Stegostoma tigrinum: one gene and its partner. The protein of the gene in region 1 interacts with the protein of each later gene in a pairwise test. Links are inferred from orthologs where the notes say so. Each region holds a gene or a part of one and is shown on either strand. Other genes may lie near its edges.

The links.
Region 2: the proteins of mocos (region 1) and parvaa interact in binary tests that used the Homo sapiens proteins (3 or more experiments, as listed by UniProt). The two-hybrid records come from large-scale screens. The link is inferred for Stegostoma tigrinum from reciprocal best matches to the Homo sapiens genes MOCOS and PARVA.

Annotation. Positions count from the first base shown.
Region 1 is NC_081355.1:91,985,960-91,997,511, reverse strand, and holds the start of mocos (molybdenum cofactor sulfurase), read left to right. Parts: upstream 1-6,158; 5' UTR 6,159-6,569; coding exon 6,570-6,693; intron 6,694-11,552. UniProt on the Homo sapiens protein: Sulfurates the molybdenum cofactor. Sulfation of molybdenum is essential for xanthine dehydrogenase (XDH) and aldehyde oxidase (ADO) enzymes in which molybdenum cofactor is liganded by 1 oxygen and 1 sulfur atom in active form.
Region 2 is NC_081370.1:37,376,163-37,387,085, reverse strand, and holds the start of parvaa (parvin, alpha a), read right to left. Parts: upstream 5,585-10,923; 5' UTR 5,131-5,584; coding exon 4,998-5,130; intron 1-4,997. UniProt on the Homo sapiens protein: Plays a role in sarcomere organization and in smooth muscle cell contraction. Required for normal development of the embryonic cardiovascular system, and for normal septation of the heart outflow tract.

The DNA of each region.
Region 1 (11,552 bases):
GAACAGTCAGCATTGTTTTGTTAAAGGGAGATAATGTCATACCAGCCTGACTGAATTTTTCAAAGAGGTGACCAGGTTTGTAGAAAAGGCAATGCCTTTGATATAATCTATTTGGACTTTAGCAAGGCTTTTGACAAGATCCTACGTGGGAGACAATAGTAAATGTAAGAATCCGTGGGATCTGAGGAAATTTGGCAAATTGGATCCATAATTGGCTGAGTGGGAGGAAGCAGGGGGTGATCATTAAGAAGTATTTTTATAACTGGAAGTCTTTGTCCAGTGAGGTTCCACAGGGGTCAGTGTTGGGGTCCTTGTTGTTTATGATTTATGTAAGTGATTTAAACTTGAATTAGAAAGTTGTTCATTAAGTTTGTAGAGATAGAAAAATTGGTGTGGTAAATAGGATAATAGCCTTAGACTACAAGAGGATGTAGATGGGCTGAGCAGTTTGGCTGATCAGTGACAAATGGAATTCAATCCAGACAAATGTAAAATCATGTACTTGGGCAGGATAGGCAAGGCAAGGGAATACATGACAAATGATAGGATCCTGAGGAAACACCAACAATTAGAGGGACCTTAGTGTGCATATACACCTGGTGCCTTAATGTGTCAGGACAGATAGATAAGATAGTTAAAAAGGCATAAGGTATTTATCATATAGCCTATATTAATCAAAGCATAGAGTTGAAAAGCAGGTAGGTTGTGCTGGAACTGTATAAAATGTTGGTCAGGCCGCAGCTAGGGTATTGTGTGCAATTCTGGAATCCACATTATCGGTGGGATGTGCCACTGAAGTGGGTGCAAAGGAAATTTTACCAAGATGTTTCCTGGGCTGGAGAGTTTCAGTTATGAAGACAGACCAAAAAGACTGTAGTTGTTCTCATTACAGCAGACGAGATTGAAAGGGAACGTGATTAAGATGTATAAAGTTATGAGGGGCATAGATAGAGTAGATAGGAAGAAACCTCTCCCTTGGAGAGAGGGATTAATGACCAGGGGCATAGATTTAAGGTAAGGAGCAAAAGCTTTGAAGAAATGTGAAGAAAAACTTTTTCACCATGAAGACAGTGCAAATCTTGAACTCACTGTCTGTAACAGTGGAAGTGGGAGAATTCTCAAAACATTTAAGAAGTATTTAGATAAGCAAACATGATGTCAAGGCATACACGTATATGGGGTATGTGCTAAAAAGTAGGGTTAGAATAGTTAGGTGGTTGCTTTTGACTAGTAGAGATATGATGGGCCAAAAGGCTGTTTTCCATGTTATTGATCTCAATGACTCTATATTATTAGCATGATTTAGCTAGGTTCACCATATTTTTGAGATCTTCACCTTCCAAGGTAATTTGAGGTAGATTGCATTCTGGTCAGGGGAAAAAGAATGTAGACCTATCCTAAAGTTTTGTGATGATGACTGGCTTAGGGTATCCATTATTATGCAAGATGGTTTTTGATATGCCAATGTCAGTGCTCAGTTTACAGCAAGCAGATGGCTATATTCATGAGGCCAATAGTTTGATCATATAGTGCATACAACAGTAGGAATGCTAGTGTGTATAATGACCAGTGAATGAAGGCCTTCAGTAAACAGTTAAGAATACATTTTCAGACTTCTCAACTAATACAATGAGGAAAAGGAGTTCACTTGATTGATTACAACTTTGGGAATTCACTTCGAAATTTACTTTCTTGGTCTACATCTGAAATTCCATCTACTTTGTACATTTGTTTCAGCTTCCTTTATTCATTCATGGGACGAGGGCATTGCTGGTTAGGCAGCATTTATTGCCCATCCCTAACTGCCCGGAGGGCAATTAAGAGTCAGCCCCATTGCTGTGGGTCTGGAGTCACATTGTAGGCCAGGTAAGGATGGCAGTTTCCTTCCTTAAAGGACATCAGGGAACCAGATGGGTTTTTCTGACAATTGACAGTGGATTCATGGTCATCATTAGACTGTTAATTCCAGATATTTAATGAATGCAGGTTTCACCATCTGCCATGGCAGGATTTGAACCTGAATCCCCAAACCATCCAGCAATAATACCACTAGGCCATTGCCTCAGCTTGAAAGTGCCTTTTTTGCTTAATAGAGATAATTCTACTTGATTTTTAATGACATAAAGAGATTCCATGATTTCTCTTCCCTTGTTCCTACGTTTTGCTAAGATTATTCCAGTGTTCTTCTAGGTCCTGATAATTTCATTCAGGATAGCTACTGTTTAATCTTTTAAGCCGTATAAGCTGTTTTGATGATACTGAGTCTTACCCTAGTTTATGATCTGTGGTGTACATATTTGTTTCTACTTTGATACCCCCATATTTAAGAGTTGTTGACTTCTTCGAAATAAACTTTTCCTTGTATTGTGATATTTCCACCTCTTGTTCTGCTTTGATTATTATACTTTACTACTGTCTGCATTTGAAACTTGCAAACTTTTCTAAAATAACCAATGTCTCTATAGTTGTGGCACTGTGCTTCCCATGTTAGGTAATCTTCCAATTTGTGTGACTTGCTCTTTCCACATTTCAGATATTTCACAATGGTGATTGAGGTGCTTTGCATTCTAGTGAGTGGCACACAAGTCATGTTTTCTTGTTTGTGAGTGGGCACACAGCCAGCCTCACTCAGTTTTTTTTATCATGGCATCTTACTTTCTCAACAAACAAAAATAGAGAAATAATTAATTCAAGAATGTGGCAGCTTGGAGAAAGCATGGATTTGTCAATAAATGACCTTTACTGGCCAGCAGAGAGCTGCACATTTGAAGAGCCAAAGACAAGTAATTCACACATGCACTTAGATGAGACCTTGTTAGACTTCTTACAAATCAGAGATGATTTGATGCTACATATGCAGATCATGGGGGGGTACAATATTAATCTTGAACTTAAAAAAAAGGTACGAAAGAAAGTAAATAAGTTGTCAAAAAAAATCTCAACATGATGAACTGGTGATTTAATAAAATGAATACTTAATAAAAGTAACCTTTAAAAAGTGCCAAGCAACAGAGTTAGCAATACAAATTTTATGTATTTCGCTTAACAAGCAGAACTAAAGAGACAGACTAGGCCTCAAAAATTGGTCGTAAGGGAAAGAAAGAGGACTGGCACCCACAGCAAGCTGACCCCTGTTGTAATTCATGTGAAAGTGGGACAAAGAAATAGATTGCCCTTCAACTTGGGATTTCTTCATCCCCGGACCGTATTTGACCGAATATGGCATCAAGGAGACTTTAGCAAAACTAGTATTAATGGGAATCAGAGGAAACCTCTCCACTGGTTGGAGTCATGCCGAGCACAAAGCAAGATGTGTGGCCATCAAACATCTTCACTCCAGAACATCCTTGTGGGAGTTCCTCACGGTAGATATTTTTCTTACCAAACTGATCAAAGATGTTATGACACATGTCTGGTCTAGGTGGGATTAGAACCGATGTCTCTTGGTTCTGAGATATGGGCATTATCACTGCATCACAAGAGCCATTAGCTCATCAGGGTAGATATTTTCTCACCAACCTATTCAGAGATGTTATATCACACCTCTGAAGCAAGTAGGATTTGAACCTAGGTCTTCTGGTCTCGAGGAAGGGCCACTACCACTGCATGACAACAGCTCTACTCTCAGAGCAGTGTTCTAGGCTCATTCATTTTAACCTGCATCATCAATTACCTTCCTTCCACTGCAAGGTCAGAAGTGTGGCTGTTTACTGATTAAGCACAGTGCTCAGGACTATTTGCAATTGTTCAGACAATGAAGCAGTCTTTGTCAAAACACAGCAATACCTGGACAATACCCAGACCTGGGCTGACAAGTTGAAAGGATGAATGAATAACTAGCATCACAACTGCAGAGTTTAGATGTGATTTGTTGGTTATGGTTGTCGAACTCTGAACTGTATGCTGACTTTGCAGTTCGGCGGGCAAACAGTCCTATGCTGTAACTTAATAAAATGTGAGGCTGGATGAACACAGCAGGCCAAGCAGCATCTCAGGAGCACAAGCTTTTGTGCTCCTGTGATGCTGCTTGGCCTGCTGTGTTCATCCAGCCTCACATTTTATTATCTTGGAATCTCCAGCATCTGCAGTTCCCATTATCTCTGATACTATGCTGTAACTTCTCCGGGTTTGCATTTTTAGGTTTTTCTGGTGCTGCCCCTGCCATGTCCTCTTATATGTTTACTGACCAAGCTTGACGGTACTGGTGGAACCGGGGATATGTTGGTCCATGAGGTTACAGATTGTGACTGAATACTTTAATTCTGCTGCTCCACCTGAGCCATAGCACTACCTGTATGCCCAGTTTTGAATTGCTGGATCTTTTCAAAACCTGTCTTATTTAGCATGGTTGTAGTGCAGCACAACACAATGCAAGGTCTCCTCAGAGATGGGTAGTCTGATGCCTCATTGTGCCTTATAAGGTTCCTAAGACCATAAAGCCATAAGATGCAGGAGCTAAAGTAGGCACAAACAAAAACAGAAATTACTGGCAAAACACAGCAAGTCTGTCATCATCTGTGGACAGAAAGCAGAGTTAATGTTTCAATGAGTGACAGTAAGAACTGCAGATGCTGGAGTCAGGGATAACACAGTGTGGAGCTGGAGGAACACAGCAGGCCAGGCCCATCAAAGCAGTAGAAAAAGTAATGTTTCAACTCAAGGATCCTTCTTCAGAATGTGGAGGGGATAGAGGGAGCTGGGAAATAAATAGAGGAGGTGTGGGGCTGGGGATGGTAGGTAGGATGGTGATAGGTGAGTGCAGGCAGGCAGTCGTGAGGTTTGGTCAGTGAGGTGGGAGGGGTGGATAGGTGGGAGAGAAGATGGACAGGTTGTGTCAGGTCAAGGAGGCTGGGATGAGAGGGAGATAACAAGCTGTAGAGCTGGATGAACACAGCAGGCCAAGCAGCATCAGAGGAGCAGAAAGGCTGAAGTCTCGGGGCTAGACCCTTCTTCAGAAATGGAGGAAGGGGAAGAGGGTTCTGAAATAAATAGGGAGCGAGGCGGAGGCAGATAGAAGATGGATAGAGGAGAAGATAGCTGGAGAGGAGACAGACAGGTCAAAGAGGCAGGGATGGAGCCAGTAAAGGTGAGTGTAGATAGGGAAGTAGGGAGGAGATAGGTCAGTCCAGGAGGACGGACAAGTCAAGGGGGCGGGATGAAGTGAATAGGTAGGAGATGGGGGTGGGGCTTGAGGCAGGAGGAAGGGATAGGTGGGAGGAAGGACAAGTGAGGGAGGCGGGGACGAGCTGGGCTGGTTTTGGGATGCGGTAGGGGGAGGGGAGATTTTGAAGCTTGTGAAATCCTGCTCTCTGCCTGCTCCTGCCCCACTGAACTTATCTCCACCTATCTCGACTCCATCTTCTCCCCTAAGTCCAGGAACTCCTGACCTATGTCCGTGCCTCCTCCAGAACTTCCAATTCCCCAGTCCCCAACACCTCATCTTTACTATGGACGTTCAGTCCATATTGATACCATTGGGCTGCAGGGTTCCCAAGCAGAATATGAGTTGCTGTTCCTGCAACCTTCGGGCGGCATCGTTGTGGCACTGCAGGAGGCCCTGTATGGACATGTCATCTAAGGAATGCGAGGGGGGAGTTGAAATGGTTCGCAACTGGGAGATGCAGTGGTTTATTGCGAACCGAGCGTAGGTGTTCTGCAAAGCGGTCCCCAAGCCTCTGCTTGGTTTCCCCAATGTAGAGGGAGCCACACCGGGTACAGTGATGCAGTATACCACATTGGCAGATGTGCAGGTGAACATCTGCTTGATATGGAAAGTCAACTTGGGGCCTGGGTTGGGGGAGGGTGACGAGGTATGGGGACAACTGTAGCACTTCCTGCGGTTGCAGGGGAAAGTGCCGCGTGTGGTGAGGTTGGAGGGGAGTGTGGAGCGGACAAGGGAGTCCCGGAGTGGTCCCTCCAGAAGGCAGACAAGGATGGGGAGGGAAAATTGTCTTTGGTGGTGGGGTCGGATTGTAGATGGCGGAAGTGTCGGAGGATGATGCGTTGTATCCGGAGGTTGGTGGGGTGGTATGTGAGGACGAGGGGGATTCTCACACATTATCTCTCCCTATTTATTTCAGAACCTCCTTCCCCTCCCCCTTTTCTGAAGAAGGGTCTAGACCCGAAACGTCAGCTTTCCTGCTCCTCTGATGCTGCTTGGCCTGCTGTGTTCGTCCAGTTCTACACCTTGTTAGCTCAGATTCTCCAGCATCTGCAGTTCCGACTATCTCTGAACCCATTCAACGATATTATGACTGATCTGACAATCCTTAACTCAACTTTCCGATCTATGAATGGATAACCTCCTCACCTGGAGCCTCATGACCCCAGCGAGACTTTGGCTACCGGTCCTGAAATTATTTTTTAACGGTTATAATTGTTTTGCCGTTCGGCCTGGGTGTCTGTCAATGATTGTACAGTCGCCTTTACCTCGCCCGGTTCAAGGACTCTGAGTCTATCTCTTTGCCCACACGCAGGCGGGTCCAGGCCGAGGAGAGGGAGGAGTCGCGGCACGGCCCCCGATCCTGGGACTGATCTGTGGCGAGAAGCCGGCTCGCAGCTGACACCAAATGGAGGGGAAGGCGACACCGCCGGAGCGCAGCAGCCTGGAGCTGTTTACAGCAGCTTTCGAGCAGCAGGGGTGCGGGGGAGCGATCGAAGCCATACGGCCCCGTGAATTCAGTAGACTCACAGGTAACCGACCGAGCAAGGGCGAAAGGCCCGGTCTTTGGCACTGTTCCGGGGAACCGCTGGGAATGACCTTCCCCTTCCACACTGATCCCGGGACCAGCTGGGTTTCAGTCTTAATTTCCTTCCCCCATATCCCAGTGCATATATCTGTGCGCATTGTAAATAACTGCATTTGGTCAACCGTGGATTCACTTCAGAAGCTGACAGTACAGAAGGCGGTAAACAAGATATATTTGGTTCTGGAGGATATGATGAGATCTAGAGTACATACAGCTGTTGTAGAGCATGGCAGCATCGTTTGATCTTTGCGTTGGCTAATGCTGCAGTGACCAAGACCTTTTGGATTTGATAGAATTAAAGTTGTGCCATGGAATTTGATTTTTTTAAAAATTTGGATGTTTTAGGCTTTTGTAAAAATAGTAATGTTCCAGATGTATCTTTGGGGTATGAGAATTTTGCAGGCGATCATGTCAATAATAATATCAGAAAATAGTTGACAGTGGTTGGGGAAAAAACTGGAATAAATTAAGATGGTATGTGTGCAAGCTTATTTTAAACAATGCCAGTGCAATCGCACAACACTCTTGTCTACCTTTCGCAATACTCCACGTCATATCCACAAACATCCCCACTGGAGGGAAGCTTTTCTACAGGATGGGACCTCCGGTTCAGAACCTAGAACACAGCAGCCTCTGTCATTGATAACAAAGTGTGGAGCTGGATGAACACAGCATGCCAAGCAGCATCTTAGGAGCACAAAAGCTGACATTTTGGGCCTAGATTGCCTCTGTCACTAAGCTGCAGTACGCAGACGCTGCTTTTCTGAGCATACACTCTGAGGCTGACCTTCAGACTATTATTGATGCATGAGGTGTATGAGAGCATGAGATTTGTGCTGACCAATCAGAGGACATTGATCCTCTGTTAGCCTGATGTTGCAATGCATCTCCATTCCCTGTTGATCAAGATCCATAGTGAGCACTGCGCAACGCACATCAACCCACTTCGGAGCTTTCGTTCAAAAGGGCTATCATCATGAAATTCAACATGTCCGTAATGTCCCAGCGTAGCCTGGCACTAGCCTCTTGCTGTGCGGGGTATTGATCTTGCATGTCCTTCTGTATCTGTTGGAGGCATATGCTCCTAAGATGCTGCTTAGCCTGCTGTGTTCATCCAGCTCCACACTTTGTTATCTCTTAAACATACATATATTTTTGAGTAGAATCCCAGAGAATTGTCACTGTGACGCCCCTGCAAAATTCTGCAAATCTATTGACACAATAGGTTTTCCTCTCTTGGGCCAACTCCCCACCCCAGCTCATCCCTACCTCGCTAACTGTTCTTTCTCTCACTTATCCCCTCTTCCACCCCAAGCCGCACCCCCATTTCCTACCCAGTAACCTCATCCCGCCCCCTTGACCTGTCTGTCCTCCCCGGACCAATCCCCTCCCTACCTCCCCACCTTGCACTCACCTCTACTAGCTCCTACCCCGCCTCTTTAACTTGTCTGTCTCCTCTCCTCTGATCTTCTCCTCTATCCATCTTCGACCCGCCTCCCCCTTTCTTCCTATTTATTTCAGAGACCGCTCCCCCTACCCTTTTTCTGATGAAGGGTCTAGGCCTGAAACATCAGCTTTTGTGCTCCTAAGATGCTGCTTGGCCTGCTGTGTTCATCCAGCTCCACACTTTGTTATCTCAGATTCTCCAGCATCTGCAGTTTCCATTATCTCTCTCCCCACCATAGAAGCACTGCTTACTTTTAGTCAGCTGCATTGGGTGTGTCACGTTGTCATCATGCCTGATATAAGGCTATTAAACCAAACCTCCCACTTCAAGCTCAGTCAAGGCAAGCAATTACTTGCGGGGGGGTGGGCAGAGATAAACATTCCAAGCATGTCCTTAAAAACTCATTAAAAAAAAATTGCAATGGCTACAGAACCTGGGAATCTCTTGACCAAGACTGCCCACACTGCAGAAGAAATATTTGTAAAAATGCCAATCAACAAAGCATTTTAGGTTTTGGTGTGGGTTAAGTGCAAACTGTGGAAGGAGCATGCAAAAGCCTGACCGTCCATCTACCCACCTCTTTAAATACCATATGCCCACTTTGTGATGGTGTATGCAATTCAGAATTGTTTAGTCACCTCAGGACTGACATGTCTGAAATGAAAGAAAGTCATCCACTCTCTCAGGGAACTGTTTAGAATTTAGTAAAGGTAGAAGCACAAGAAAGAATGGTTTGAGATCTACATAATGGAGATGACATCTACTATTGATGTAAATTGCGTGAGACCAAGAGTTCTGGACTGCTGTGGACTATACTGATGAGGTGTCCTCTCTAAGTTGGGCATCGGTATGGTGTCCCTGGAGGAATCGGGATCACCAGATCGGGTAAAGAGGAGTGAATTGTTCAAGGTCAGAAACTGAGCATGTCAAAGCCCGATGCTCATCAGTAGTCAGATTGCGCCTGTGAATAAACGTTGCAGTGCAGCCTGGTTAACACAGTGAAACATCGTCTTTATGGGTGGCATGGTGACTCAGTGGTTAGCATTGCTGCCTCACAGTGCCAGGGACCTAGGTTTGATTCCACCTTTGGGCGACTGCCTGTGTGGGTTTCCTCTGGATGCTCTGGTTTCCTCTCCCAGTCCAAATATGTGCAAGCTAAATGGATTGGCCATGCTAAATTGCCCATAGTGTTCAGGGATGTGTAGATTAGTGGGGTTACATTGGGATGGGCTCACACGTCGGTGTGGACTTGTTGGGCCGAAGGGCCTGTTTCCACACTGTAGGGATCCTATGGAAATTCTATGGAAAGCCTACGTGATCTACAAGATAAATGCAACAATTAAACAGTACTTGACACTGAAAGTAACCAAGACAATCATACAAAAGAGAGAGATTCTGTTCCAATAAGCCTCAGTCAGTTGTATGAGACAATGGACATTAACAAGCTCGGTATGAAGGAATTCTCCGAAATCGGCGCAAGGTGAAGTAGTCACTGACACAGGTAAAGATGAGCTGATAATGACTGTGAAACAATCATTGCCCACTCCATGCTTGACATTCTCTTACAGCTTCCTGTCATGGATAAATTAGATGAGAAATCCCTTTGCTTGAATTCATGCAGGTCTGTACTGCTTTGCAAATAGCAAGGCATGTGTAAAGCATGGAATCCCAGCTGAATTGCTCAAATATGAAATTTCTCATCTAGGGTGACTTTTTATGACTTTCTCTGCTGGAAAGTAGGCTCCATTCTACGTGAGATTATCACACTATATAAAAACGAAGGTGACAGGAGATTGCAGTACAAACAGGGACAACCCACCCTTTAGTGTCATTGGGAAGATATTGCTCAGGGAATGCTAAGATTGTATCTGCTTGCAGACTGAGTCTGCCCACTGTACAGTTTCAATGCCTATAGAGCTACTGTGGACATGAACTGCATTTCTGAGGAAGGGTCTAGGCCCGAAACGTCAGCTTTCCTGCTTCACTGATGTTGCTTGACCTGCTATGTTCATCCAGCTCTACACCTTGTTATCTAATGAACTCCATACACTAGCCACTAGAAAAATACTTTGTTCAGGCATTTGCCACCAACAGCAGAGTGAATCTACAAAATTATTGGTGAAGAAAAGCATGTTCTGTTGGAGCTTTTCATCTTGCATGCATCTGGAAATTTGCAAAACTACAAATGTAAAAGTGAACAACATTTTTTATGTTCTGTGAGCATAGCATAATGAGTACTTGGCAGTGGTCTCTGGCAAGAGTCATTGTGATGGGAATGCATCAGTTACATAATGACTATCCGTTAACTATCAAGCTTTATTTAAATCTAAACCAGGCAAGTTGAATCTACACAGTTAAAGATTTGCCCTGAGAAATGAACCAGACAATGGCTGTTGCCTATTTTGATCAGTTGCAAAAGAGATAATTTGAGATTAAAAAAGTCTGCAAAAAAAATGCCTTATATATTAATGTGTACCACTTGCAGTATGCGTGGGTATGCTGCACTGAGCGCAGAGAAGCCTAATGCATGTATCTTTACAGAAAAGTAGAAAAATACAAATGAACTGACTCACTGAGCACTCAAACCATTTGTGGCTGTATCTTTCGTATTATTTGGGATTAATAATTTACCAATAGGCAAAGCAAAAATCCAGTTACCAAATTTGACTAAAGTGAGTGAAATTCAAACTTGCAAGTGTCCAGAATAAACTGAAACTGCTTATCCATTCTTTGCACACCTACTCCACTTTTCTGTCCTCTGACCTCCCAATTCAATGCCAAAATGTTTTATTTTGACAGCTTGATAATCTAAATAAATAACGTAAATCAACTGTGGAAACTTGAGTTCAAAATCAATGTATATGCTTTCCAAATGAGAGTGCTAAACTTAGAGATACTAACTTTCAGATGAGGCAATTAATTGAGTACCTGTCTGCTTTATCAGGGAAACTTAAAAGCTCCTATTGGACCATTTTAAGAAGAGCAGCAGAATCCCCACTTGTCTGCTGGCTAGTATTTATTCCTCAAGCAATGTCATGAAAATAAATTATCTGTATGAAAATTCTTACATTATGGTAATAGCTCAAAAGTACTTTATTGTCTGTAAAGTGACTTGGAAAATTTCTTAACATGAAAGTCACTATTTAATGCAAGTTTTTTGCTTTTGACTTTTTGATTAGCTGAAAGCATGTGTGAACCAATCAATAGATTTTCAACTTGACTTTAAAATAACCAGATTTATGTTAAATACAAGCATTTCTTGTAATAAAATGGAACTTCTTTGGGCAAAGGTCATTCCAATGACCTTGAGGTTGGTGGCTCGCCGAGCTGGTTTGTTGTTCCGCAGACGTTTCATT
Region 2 (10,923 bases), on another chromosome or scaffold:
GTTAGTTTTCAGATGTTTCGTCACCATTCTAGGTAACATCATCAGCGAGCCTCCGACGAAGCACTGATGTTATGTCCCGCTTTCTATTTATCTGTTTAGGTTTCCTTGGGTTGGTGATGTCATTTCCTGCGTTGGTGATGTTTCCTGTTCTTTTTCTCAGGGGATGGTAGATTGGCTCCAAATCAATGTGTTTGTTGATGGAGTTCCGGTTGGAATGCCATGCCTCTAGGAATTCTCGTGCGTGTCTCTGTTTGGCTCGTCCTAGGATGAATGCGTTGTCCCAATCAACACATCCATCCTAGGACAAGCCAAACAGAGACACACATGAGAATTCCTAGAAGCATGGCATTCCAACCGGAACTCCATCAACAAACTCATTGATTTGGAGCCAATCTACCATCCTCGGAGAAAAAGAACAGGAAATGACATCACCAACGCAGGAAATGACATCACCAACCCAAGGAAACCTAAACAGATAAATAGAAAGTGGGACACAACACCAGCGCTTCACCGGAGGCTCACTGATGATGTTACCTAGAATGGTGAAGAAACGTCTGAAACTAACCTTCCAGCTCAGCGAGCAAACTCACATCCAGATACGAATAACTTGAGTGGGTAAAAAATCTGCTAGATGGACTGGGATGTCGGAAAATGTGAAGTTACTCACTTCTGTAGGAAGAATTAAACAGTACAATATTAATTAAATGGAAAATGGCTATAGAATTCCAAGGTGTATGAGTTATTAAAAACTCAGATGCAAATATGACATGTAATCAAGAAAGCTAAAAGGGTCCATTCTGAAGAGTCACTGGGCCTGAAAAATTAACTCGAATTTCTCTCCACAGATGCTGCCAAATGTGCTGTTTTTCCAGCAATTTCTGTTTTTGCTGTTGTACTTAATATGATGCTAGCCTGTATAATAACAAGAACTGAACATAAAATTAAGAATGTTAAGCTTCAGTCAGACATTGATAAGACCACATCTTTAATATTGTGTACAGTTTAGGTCTTTTTTAAAGCTGGATCTGATTTGAATGAGTGAGTTATTTTGTGAGGATAAAGAGACAGGCTGGGTTTGTTTCCAGTGAAGTTTAAAAGAGCGAGGAGCGATCTGAAGCGTATCAGAGCCTGAAAATCTTGACAAGGTCGATGTGGAAAGTTTATTCTTTTCCGTCAACCCAGGACTATGGAGCATATTTTGAATAATAAGGGTTACCCCTTAGGACAGAAATGCAGAGCATTTTTTACTCTCCACTTTGGGTGAGGGGCTGGTGGAATACAGTGTCATTAAATATTTGAAAACATAGGTGGTTAGATTCTTATCAGGCAGGAATACGGAATTGAAAACAAAAACAGATCAACCATGATCCAACTGAATGGTGCAGCAAACCCGAGGGGCTGAAATGCCTACTGCAGTTCTAATTCTGTATACATTTGTGTGAGAGAGATTGTGTCAACTCCACTTTTCTGCCTGCTCCCGACATCCCTCAATTCCCTAATACCTCAGTCATACAGTACAGAAATAGACCCTGTCCATGACAAACATAATCCCAAACTAAACTAGTCCCGCCTGCCTTCTCCTGACCCATATCCCTCCAAACCTTTCCTATTCACATAGGTATCCAAATGTCATTTGAACATTGTAATTGTGCCCACATCCACACTTCCTCAGGAAGATCATTCCACACGTGATCCACCCACTCTGAAAAATTTGCCCTTTGTGACTTTTTAAAATTTCTCTCCTCTCAAAAATATGTGCCCCCATGCCCCTCAGGCCAGCATGGCATTCCCTCCATCCTGGACTATAGCAGTCTAAATTTTGTGCTCAACTCACTACAGTAGAGCTTATAACTCATGACCTTTTGAGTGAAGGGAGGAGACACCCTCCCACTAACCTCCATAATAATAAAGCAAATATTTGTCAAATTGAAGTAGCCAAATTTTGACAATTGGCCCGGACAATCGGGGCAGCCCAGTGACTCAATGGTTAGCACTGCTGCCTCACAGCGCCAGGGACCCGGGTTCGATACTACCCTTGGGCGACTGTCTGTATGGTGTTTGCACATGCTCCCCGTGTCTGCGTGGGTTTGCCCCGGGTGCTCCATATCTTCCCACAGCCCCAAGATGTGCAGGCTGGGTGGACTGGCTGTGCTAAATTGCCTGTAGCGTTCAGGGATGTGTAGATTAGGTGGGTTATTGGGGAATGGGGGTGGGATGCTGTGAGAGTTAGCATGGACATGTTGGGACAAAGGGCCTGTTTCCACACTCTAAGGATTCTATGATTCTATGTCTCTTACTCATTTGTCCAAACAGGTAACTGAGAGGTCTGAGTGAAAATCCTACAAAATGTTTTCAGCTTGAATTGCCACCTAGCCCCTCCCTTCTCTGGTAAAAATGACATTTAAAGAATGATCAAGAACAAACCTCTGCGGACATCAGGATTTAATTCTGCAAGAGGGATTCATCTCTACAACAGGCTGAAATATGCAAGATTAAGAATCACTGAACCTTGCAACTTGAGAGCACAATCATTTAGTCTATTCTGTGGTGTCACAAAGAGCTACACAAATAGTTCCCTCCCCCAACACCTCACTATTTCCCCACAGATTTGAGAGCTTTTCCATTTAACTGAATACTCAACCACCTTTACAAAGTTACTATTAAATCTGCTTCCACTTCCCATTCAGGCAATGCATTCCAAATGAAACCCGTTTTTTTGATGAAGGGTCTATGCCCGAAACATCAGCTTTCTTGCTCCTCTGATGCTGCTTGGCCTGCTGTGTTCATCCAGCTCCACACCTTGTTATCGCGGATTCTCCAGCATCTGGAGTTCCTATTATCTCTGAACCATGTTTAATGTTTTTGTGTCCCCAAGCTACTGACCCTCCTACAAGAGGAAATGCACCCTATCAAATTCCTGATTTTGAAAATCTCTACCAAGTCTCCTGTTCACCTACTCTCCAGACCTCTATCTTAAAGATGAAAACAAATATCTCATCACTTGCATTATTTCCATAAAATCTTCTTTGCATCTTCTCAACGGCTTGGACATCATTTTCCAGAACTGGGCACAATACACCAGCTGAGGACAGGGCGTTATATGTCAGTTGGTGATATCTGTCTGAGCCATAAGCTCAGAGTTAACATCCACCATTGACCTTGTTGACCATTGAAACACCATTTGTGACATGGTCATGTAGGTTGGTAATCAAATGTAGGCAGTAAAGAGTGGGTTAGGTTTCTGTTCAGCCATGTTTGATGCAGAGTGGTGACCCCCCAAAATTATAACCACTTACCTCTCTCAAACAATTACGGATTGAGCCCAGGATGGGCCCAAGCAGGGTTTCATAAAGGTCTTGCATAACTTGTGCAGCAGTCAAACAACAACAACAGTATTGTGAGAAACACGCTCTCAGCGCAGCCCAACTATATTTCTACTTGTTGAATTTTTGAGCCGAGGCACGACCGCTTGAAGTGCCAATTAACATACCAGCCGTGTAAACAGTGGGCACAGCAGATCATGCTGTGCACCCTGGTCTGTATGGATTCAGTACAAAGTCAAGTATACCCAAATCCTGAGCAGAAGAGAACTCACACAAAGGTAGAACATGGACAGGAAGACAGACTAATGGAATTGAAGAATTACAGCAAGTACACAGGGCAAAAAGCAGTCATTTGGCTCAAGTTACCACTACTTAACACACAAGTCTTCTCCACTTAAGCATGTGGGATCAGCCATACTCCAATTAGAATCATAGGCTCATACAGCCTTGAAACAGGCCCTTTGGCCCAACTCAGCCATGCTGATGAGGTTTCCTGAATTGAACTAGTCCCATTTGCCCCTGTTTGGCTTGTATGCCTCTAAATCTTTCCTATGCACATAGCTGTTCAAATGTTTTTTGAATGTTCTAATTGTACCCATCTCTACCACTTCCTCTAGCAGCTCATTCCATATATGCACTACCCCCTGTGTGGAAAAAGCTGCCCCCCTGGTCCCTATTAATTTTCCCCCCCTAACCTGGGGATAAAGACCTCGGCTATTCACCTTATCTAGGCCTCTCGTGATTTTATGAACCTCTACAAGGTCACCCCTCAGCCTCTAAGGGTGCTCAGAAAACAGAGCCAGCCTACTCAGCCTCTCCTTGTAAGTCAAACCTTCCGTATCGGTCACATCCTTTTAAAAAAATGCTTGCACCCTTTCCAGCAGGGCGACCAGAACTGTAGGCAGTACTCCAAATGTAGCCCTACCAATGTCTTGTGCAGTTGTAACATGATTTCAACAGCCTTAAAAGGGGTTGAATGGCTTTCCTGTACTGTCTTTTAAATTTCCGACAACAAATGTAGATAGTCAAGATTCAAAATTTAAAAAATACACATTATTCTTTCATTCACGATAACAACAGCTGTGTAATATTGCCAGTGGAAATTCTATTGCTCTAGGGTTTGGTTTTGTTACATGGCGTGGTTTCCCTGCAGACAGGAATCCAGCTTACTCCTGCATACCTGCCCCCTGTAAGGTGCAGATAAGCAGCTCCCGCCTGAGTTGCGGTCTTAACCTTGGTGTTTGATCAATAACTGTGCAATGCACAGAGAGATAACGAGAGGGGGGTGGGTGGTGTTCGGAAAATGCTTTCGAGTTCAACCGCAGAACTTATATTGCCAACCAAATGAGTCTGAACCGGAAAACATTCCACAGGACGCCCAGCTACACCCAGCCCAGAACTTAACTGTGAACTCCACAAAACAAAAATCCACTTTTAGGCTGCAAAACAATGAAGTATTTAATGAAGGGAGTAAATCACTCACATTGCAGCCTTAGAAGCTGTTACGTTAGCCACAAAGCAAAACCAAGTTGAACACTTTCAGCTGAAATTGCAAAAGTTTTCGAAACTTGTTGCAAACTTCTCTTTCAAGTAAATAGGCAACATTTTCAGGACGTTCGTGAACAATTTACATGAAACAAGTTTTTTTTCTAAAAACAAAGAAGAAAGAATTACCTTCTTTGGCCTTTTTTCTTCTGGCTAAAGTTCCTCCAAGTTTACCCAGGAAGGAATCCTCTTTCCTGGAGCCGGGGGATTTCGGGACGGGGGACTTCGGGATGGATGGGGATTTCTGGGGTGAACTGGCCATTTGTCCGGATCAGCGGGGACGAATGTTTGTGCAGACTGATGGGTACGCGCTACACCTTTAGCCGAGAGAGAGGAAAGGGGGGATAAAAAAAACCCTGGACGGAAACAGAATTCTCGGCGAGTCCTGAATTCCAGGGCTATGAGGCAGCGAGAATCTAAACACAACGCTGCAGGGCGAGACTGCGCCTGTGTCTCTCCTACCACTCCCACTGAAATCTCTGCTCTGCGTGAAACTCTCAGCCCAGCTTCTTCTCAGACTGGCCCGAAAGAACAAAAATCAAAAACAAATAGTCATATCATCGCCATTTCTGTCATTACAATTGACACACTCCCCTAACAAAAGTTGCTAAAGCAGATTTTATCTCAAAGCCCTGCATCAACAAAGGGGAGCTTTTATTTTCAAACGAAAATGTGGTAGGCAGCAGCTTCGAAAACCAAAGTGAAGGGGGTTTTGTCATTAGCAACATGTGCTCGGCGAGGCAGCAGTTAGGAAGCCGCAGTATTGTCGCTGGGTTACAGTTTTCATTCACCTAGGGCCAATGTTTACCCCCTCATCAGCGAACATCAAACCATTTCATCTCGGTCACTGGCTGCTGTTTGTGGGAGCCCGCGACGTGACGATAGTTGATTGGTGGGCAAGCATTTGGAAAGAAAGGTTTGGATTTCGAGAGTAACCTTCATAATAGCTCAAAGAGCTTGACAGCTAAAGTTTTGAAGTGTAGACAGTTCAGTGCTCCTTAGTACATTTTCTTAATGCCAATTCCCAGAGGTCAGTTAAGAGTCAACCACATTGGTGTGGGTCTGGAGCCCCATGTAGGTAAAAAGGGGTTTCCTTCCCAAAAAGGAATTAGTGAACCAGATGGGTTTTCCCCCTGCAATCAACAGTAGATTAATTATCCTTTGGGGAAGGATAACCATCAACCAGATGGTTTATTTCACCCCCCACCCCAATAATTGTTTCATGGTCAAAAGACCTTTAATTCTAGCTTTGTTTCAGTTGAATTCAAATTCCACCATCTGCTGTGGCAGAATTTGAAACCAAGTTCCCAGAACATACCTGGCTCACTGGATTAACAGTCCAGCAACAATACTATAAGGCCATCACTTCACCGCATAACTGCACAGTTATATCAGGCTGGTCATTGTGCTGAAGCATCTAGAGTGGGACTTGAATTCATGACATTCTGACTCAGTCAGGACTTGCTGCACCACAGCTAAAACCACACGAGAGATTGTGAAAGCCATAATTTTTTGAGGAAACATCTCAGTAAACCTCAAACAAAAGGATCTCAAATCAGTAAATAAACAGAGGCTGCGATCTGGAGAGAGAGGATGGAATGTGGAACAGGGTCAAGAGAAGAATTAAGACAATAAAACAAAATTTGATGTTGAGCCATGAAGCAGAATCCAGAAACAATATGCTCGATCCGCTGACATGAGGGGGAAGCCCAGAAGGAGGTAGGCAAGGACCAGGGTGTAATCAGAGAGAAAAGGCATCGAGACATTAAACAGGAAGAGCAGGTGTACCAAGCAAAAGACATTAAGGATTAAAAACTGCGTGGAAGATTCAAAAAGGTTTGGAACTTTAAGCTATGGTGAGAAAGATGAACCTGGAATGCAGAGCCTGAAAGTGCAAAGGAGTGACGTTCAAGCAAGGCATTCAAAAGAGCATTAGAAGAATAGAAACAATGTGCAATGTTTTAAAATGGCATTAAGTCACAATGCTGTTTTGGAGAGTTGATGCAGACATAATGGACTGGGCAGTGTCCACGTTCACTGTAGCAATTGTGATTGAAAGCAATGTGAAAGAACAACTTGCATTTGTCACTTTTCACAATTTCCAATGTTCCAAAACACTACCCAACAAGTTAAGTACTTGTCAAGTTTTGAAGAACTACTGAAGCACAGCAGCCATATTGCACAAGCAAGACCCCACACACAAAAATACAGTAATGGCCAGATCATCTGGTTTTAGAAGGTTAGTTGACAACAGCATACTGGGTGGGGGGAAAGAAATGGAAAGAACTCCCATGGTATTAAATCAAAAAAAAGCAACAGATAATTTACATTCAATTGAGGGGACAAGTGGATAGTCTGTCCAACAGTGCAGGACTGCCTCAATACAGCATTGCAAGTATTGGCTTGGATTACACACAAGTGTCTGGTGAAGAAGGCCACCATGCAAACTGCAGTCTAGGCAAATAGACTGTTTTTTGATATTATTTACAGCCATCATCTTTGTTCAGCAGCAAGTGGTCTGCTTTGACCTATGACCTCAAATGGGAGTGAGGATTGGAGGAGGATGATTAATCATCAGCATCATAAAAGATGATACTTAAGTTAGTAGATATTCAGCATAACCCCAAAAATCAGGGCAAACAGTGGACAAACCAGTAACTCTTGGTTATTCTACTATTCACCTTTGGGCTAACTCAATTGGATCTGGAGATCCTCAGCCAAACCTTTAGATCCCATAAGCTGTAGGCTGCTAACACCCATGCAGTGACAGCTCAATGCCTGAGCTTATTTGATGATGAACATTTACCTCAATAGAGTGGCACAGTATCACTGACAAGGTATCACCATCATTTGGTGGAGGCTGAAGTTTGTCACTGCAGGAGAAACCTGACTAAGGAAAAAATGTTCAGATATTCATCCTCAGAGGTTAGGATAAAGAAAGGAAAGTGAAATAACTCCAGAGATCAGTGTCCTGTCACTAAGTCACTCCTCATTTACATATGCACAATACTTGACACCAGTCTAAATTCCTCAGAGCTAGCTCACAAAATGAGCAGAGCTGCTGACACTCCTGTTTATATCTGTCAGCCAGGGCTCCCTGATTGGACAAAGTTAACAGCCCCAATCAGCGAACAATATTCTATGAGGTCCACCTGGTTGACCTCATGACAATCACTACATCCCTCCCCATCTAAGTCTGGGGATTTAGGATTGTTCCTTTTCTTGTAACCTCTGCAGGGATGTTTTTGCACTGGGTCTAATTTCTCTGACGCAGCCTTGGATATGGGCAGCACGTTCCAGACTATAATCTGTCTCTTGCACCTGGAGCACCTCGGAGGAGATTAATCCTGTTCTTCAGGTGGTAAACGCATCGAGGCTGTGACATCTGCTATGTCTATCTCAGACTCCAAGGTTTCTTTGATGTTTGAAGAGGGAGAGAACGCATGGGTTGCAACAGCCTTTCTAGTTGTTCTGAGGGTACGGTTTGCTCCTGTCCCGTTTGTGAGGTTGCAGCTTTCATGTGGTCCACATGTTTTTCAGGACTGTCAATCCTATCCAAACTTTATGTCACAGGACCTGACCTCACTTCGACAATGCCCCTTACCCAATGAAAGAGAGAAAGACACTTAGGGCTGAATCTAACAGTGTTTCAGTGAAATGTCAGTTTTGCTGAATATCAAGAACAAAGAGGAAAGAAAACTCTAGCACAGGAATAATCCCTTCGGCCCTCCAAGCCTGCGCTGGTCCAGATCCTCTATCTAAACCTGTTGCCTATCTTCCATTGATCTGCATCCGAGTGCTCCCTGCCCATTTGCATATCTGCCTAGATACATCTTAAATGATGCTATCGTCCCTGACCCTACCACCTCTGCTGGCTATGCATTCCGGGCACCAACCACCCTCTGCATAAAGAAATTTCCACACATATCTCCCTTAAACTTTTCCCATCTCACCTTGAAATCATGACCCTTAGTAATTGAGTCCCCCACTCTGGGCAAAAGCTTCTTGCTATCCATCCTGTCTATACCTCTCACGATTTTAAAGACCTCAATCAGGTTCCCCCTCAATCTCCATCTTCCTAATGTAAATAATCCTGATCTACTCAACCTCTCTTCATAGCTAGCACCCTCCATACCAGGCAACATCCTGGTGAACCTCCTCTGCACCCTCTCCAAAGAATCCACATCCTTTTGGTAATGTGGCAACCAGAACTGTACACAGTATTCCAAATGTGGTCGATCCAAAGTCCTATACAATTGTAAAATGACCTGCCAACTCTTGAACTGAATGCCCTATCCAATGAATGAAAGCATGCCATATGCCTTCTTGACCCATCTATCGACCTGCGTTGCCACCTTCAGGGTACAATGGACCTGAACACCCAGATCTCTCTGTGCATCAATTTTCCCCAGGGCCTTTCCATTTGGAGTGTTTCTCTAATTTTGGAGAGTTTTCACACACAACCATCCCAAACTGCTTCATTAACTACTGATCCTGAACCCATAGTATGCCCGCTCATCTGATGCTATCCAAATTCTCCCACTTACTGTAACCAGAATCATAAAATCCACACAGTGCAGAAAGAGGCCATTCAGCCCAGCATGTCTGAAGCATATCTGACCCAAACCAACCCCACTACCCTATCCACATTATCCCACATTTACCATGGCCAATCCACCTAGCCTGCAGATCTTTGGACTGTGGGAGAAAGGTGGAGCACCCGGAGGAAGCCCACACAGACACATGGGGAGGATGTGTAAACTCCACACGGTCACCTGAGGTTGGAGTCAAACCCAGGTCCCTGGCATTGTGAGGCAGCAGTACCACTCATTGACCCATCACACTACCCCAGTTCTTAATATTGCCAGCTATCCCTGGCATAAGTGCCATTTTTAAAAGGCTGTTGTGCACGTGGATAAACACTGGCATTCTGGAAGCTGTACACAATTTAGTGGACGTAGTGTCTGACAGGGACTTTGAGGTCATGGTTGATGAATTCTATACAAGAGGGGACATCCTCTTTCCCCAAGATTGCCAGATGTGATCACACCACCAGACTCTGCCAGCTTGATCTGAGGTCATCACCAGGATCAATGTAGTCTGAGAACATTGTTGCTAAGTTTGGAGATGACACAAAGCTTGGTGGAGGGACAGACAGTGCTGAAGAGGTGGTGAGGCAGCAAAAGGACATGGACAGGCTAGGAGAGTGGGCAAATAAATGGCAGATGGAATACAGTGTGGGAAAGTGTGAGGTCATGCACTTTGGTAGGAAGAATAGAAGCATAGCATATTTACGAAATGAGGGAAGGCTTCAGAAATCTGATGCACAAAAGGACTTAGAAGTCCTAGCTCAGGATTCTTGCAAGGTTAACATACTGGTTCAGTTAGCAGTTTGGAAGGCAAATGCAATGTTAGCATTCGCTTCAAGAGGACTAGAATACAAGAGTCAGAATGTACTGCTGAGAGTATATAATGGTCTAGTGGGGCCACATCTGGAATATTGTGAGCAGTTCTGGGCCCCATATCTAAGGAAGGATGTGCTGGAGGGAGTCCAGAAGAGGTTTACAAGAATGATCCCGGGAATGAAGGGCTTGCCATATGAGGAGTGGTTGAGGAATTTGGATCGGTAGTCAATGGATGAGGGGGTGCTCTTATTGAAATTTACAGAATACTGAGAGGCCTGGATAGAGTGGGCATAGAGAAAATGTTTCCAGTAGCAAGAGAGCTTAGGACCTGAGGGCACAGCCTCAGAATGAAGGGATGACCCTTTAGAACTCAGATAAGAAGGAATTTCTTCAGCCAGAGGGTACTGAATCTATAGAACTCATTGCCACAGCAGACTGTAGAGGCCAGGTCATTGAATGTATTTTTATACAGGTAGATAGGTTCTTGATTGGTAATGGGATCAAGGGTTACAGGGACAAGGCAGGGGAATGGGTTTGAGAAACGTATCAGCAATGAATGATTGGCACAGCAGACTCAATGGGCTCAATGGCCTAAATCTGCTCCTGTATCTGATTCTCCCCATGATTCAGAGGAACACACAGCAACGCAG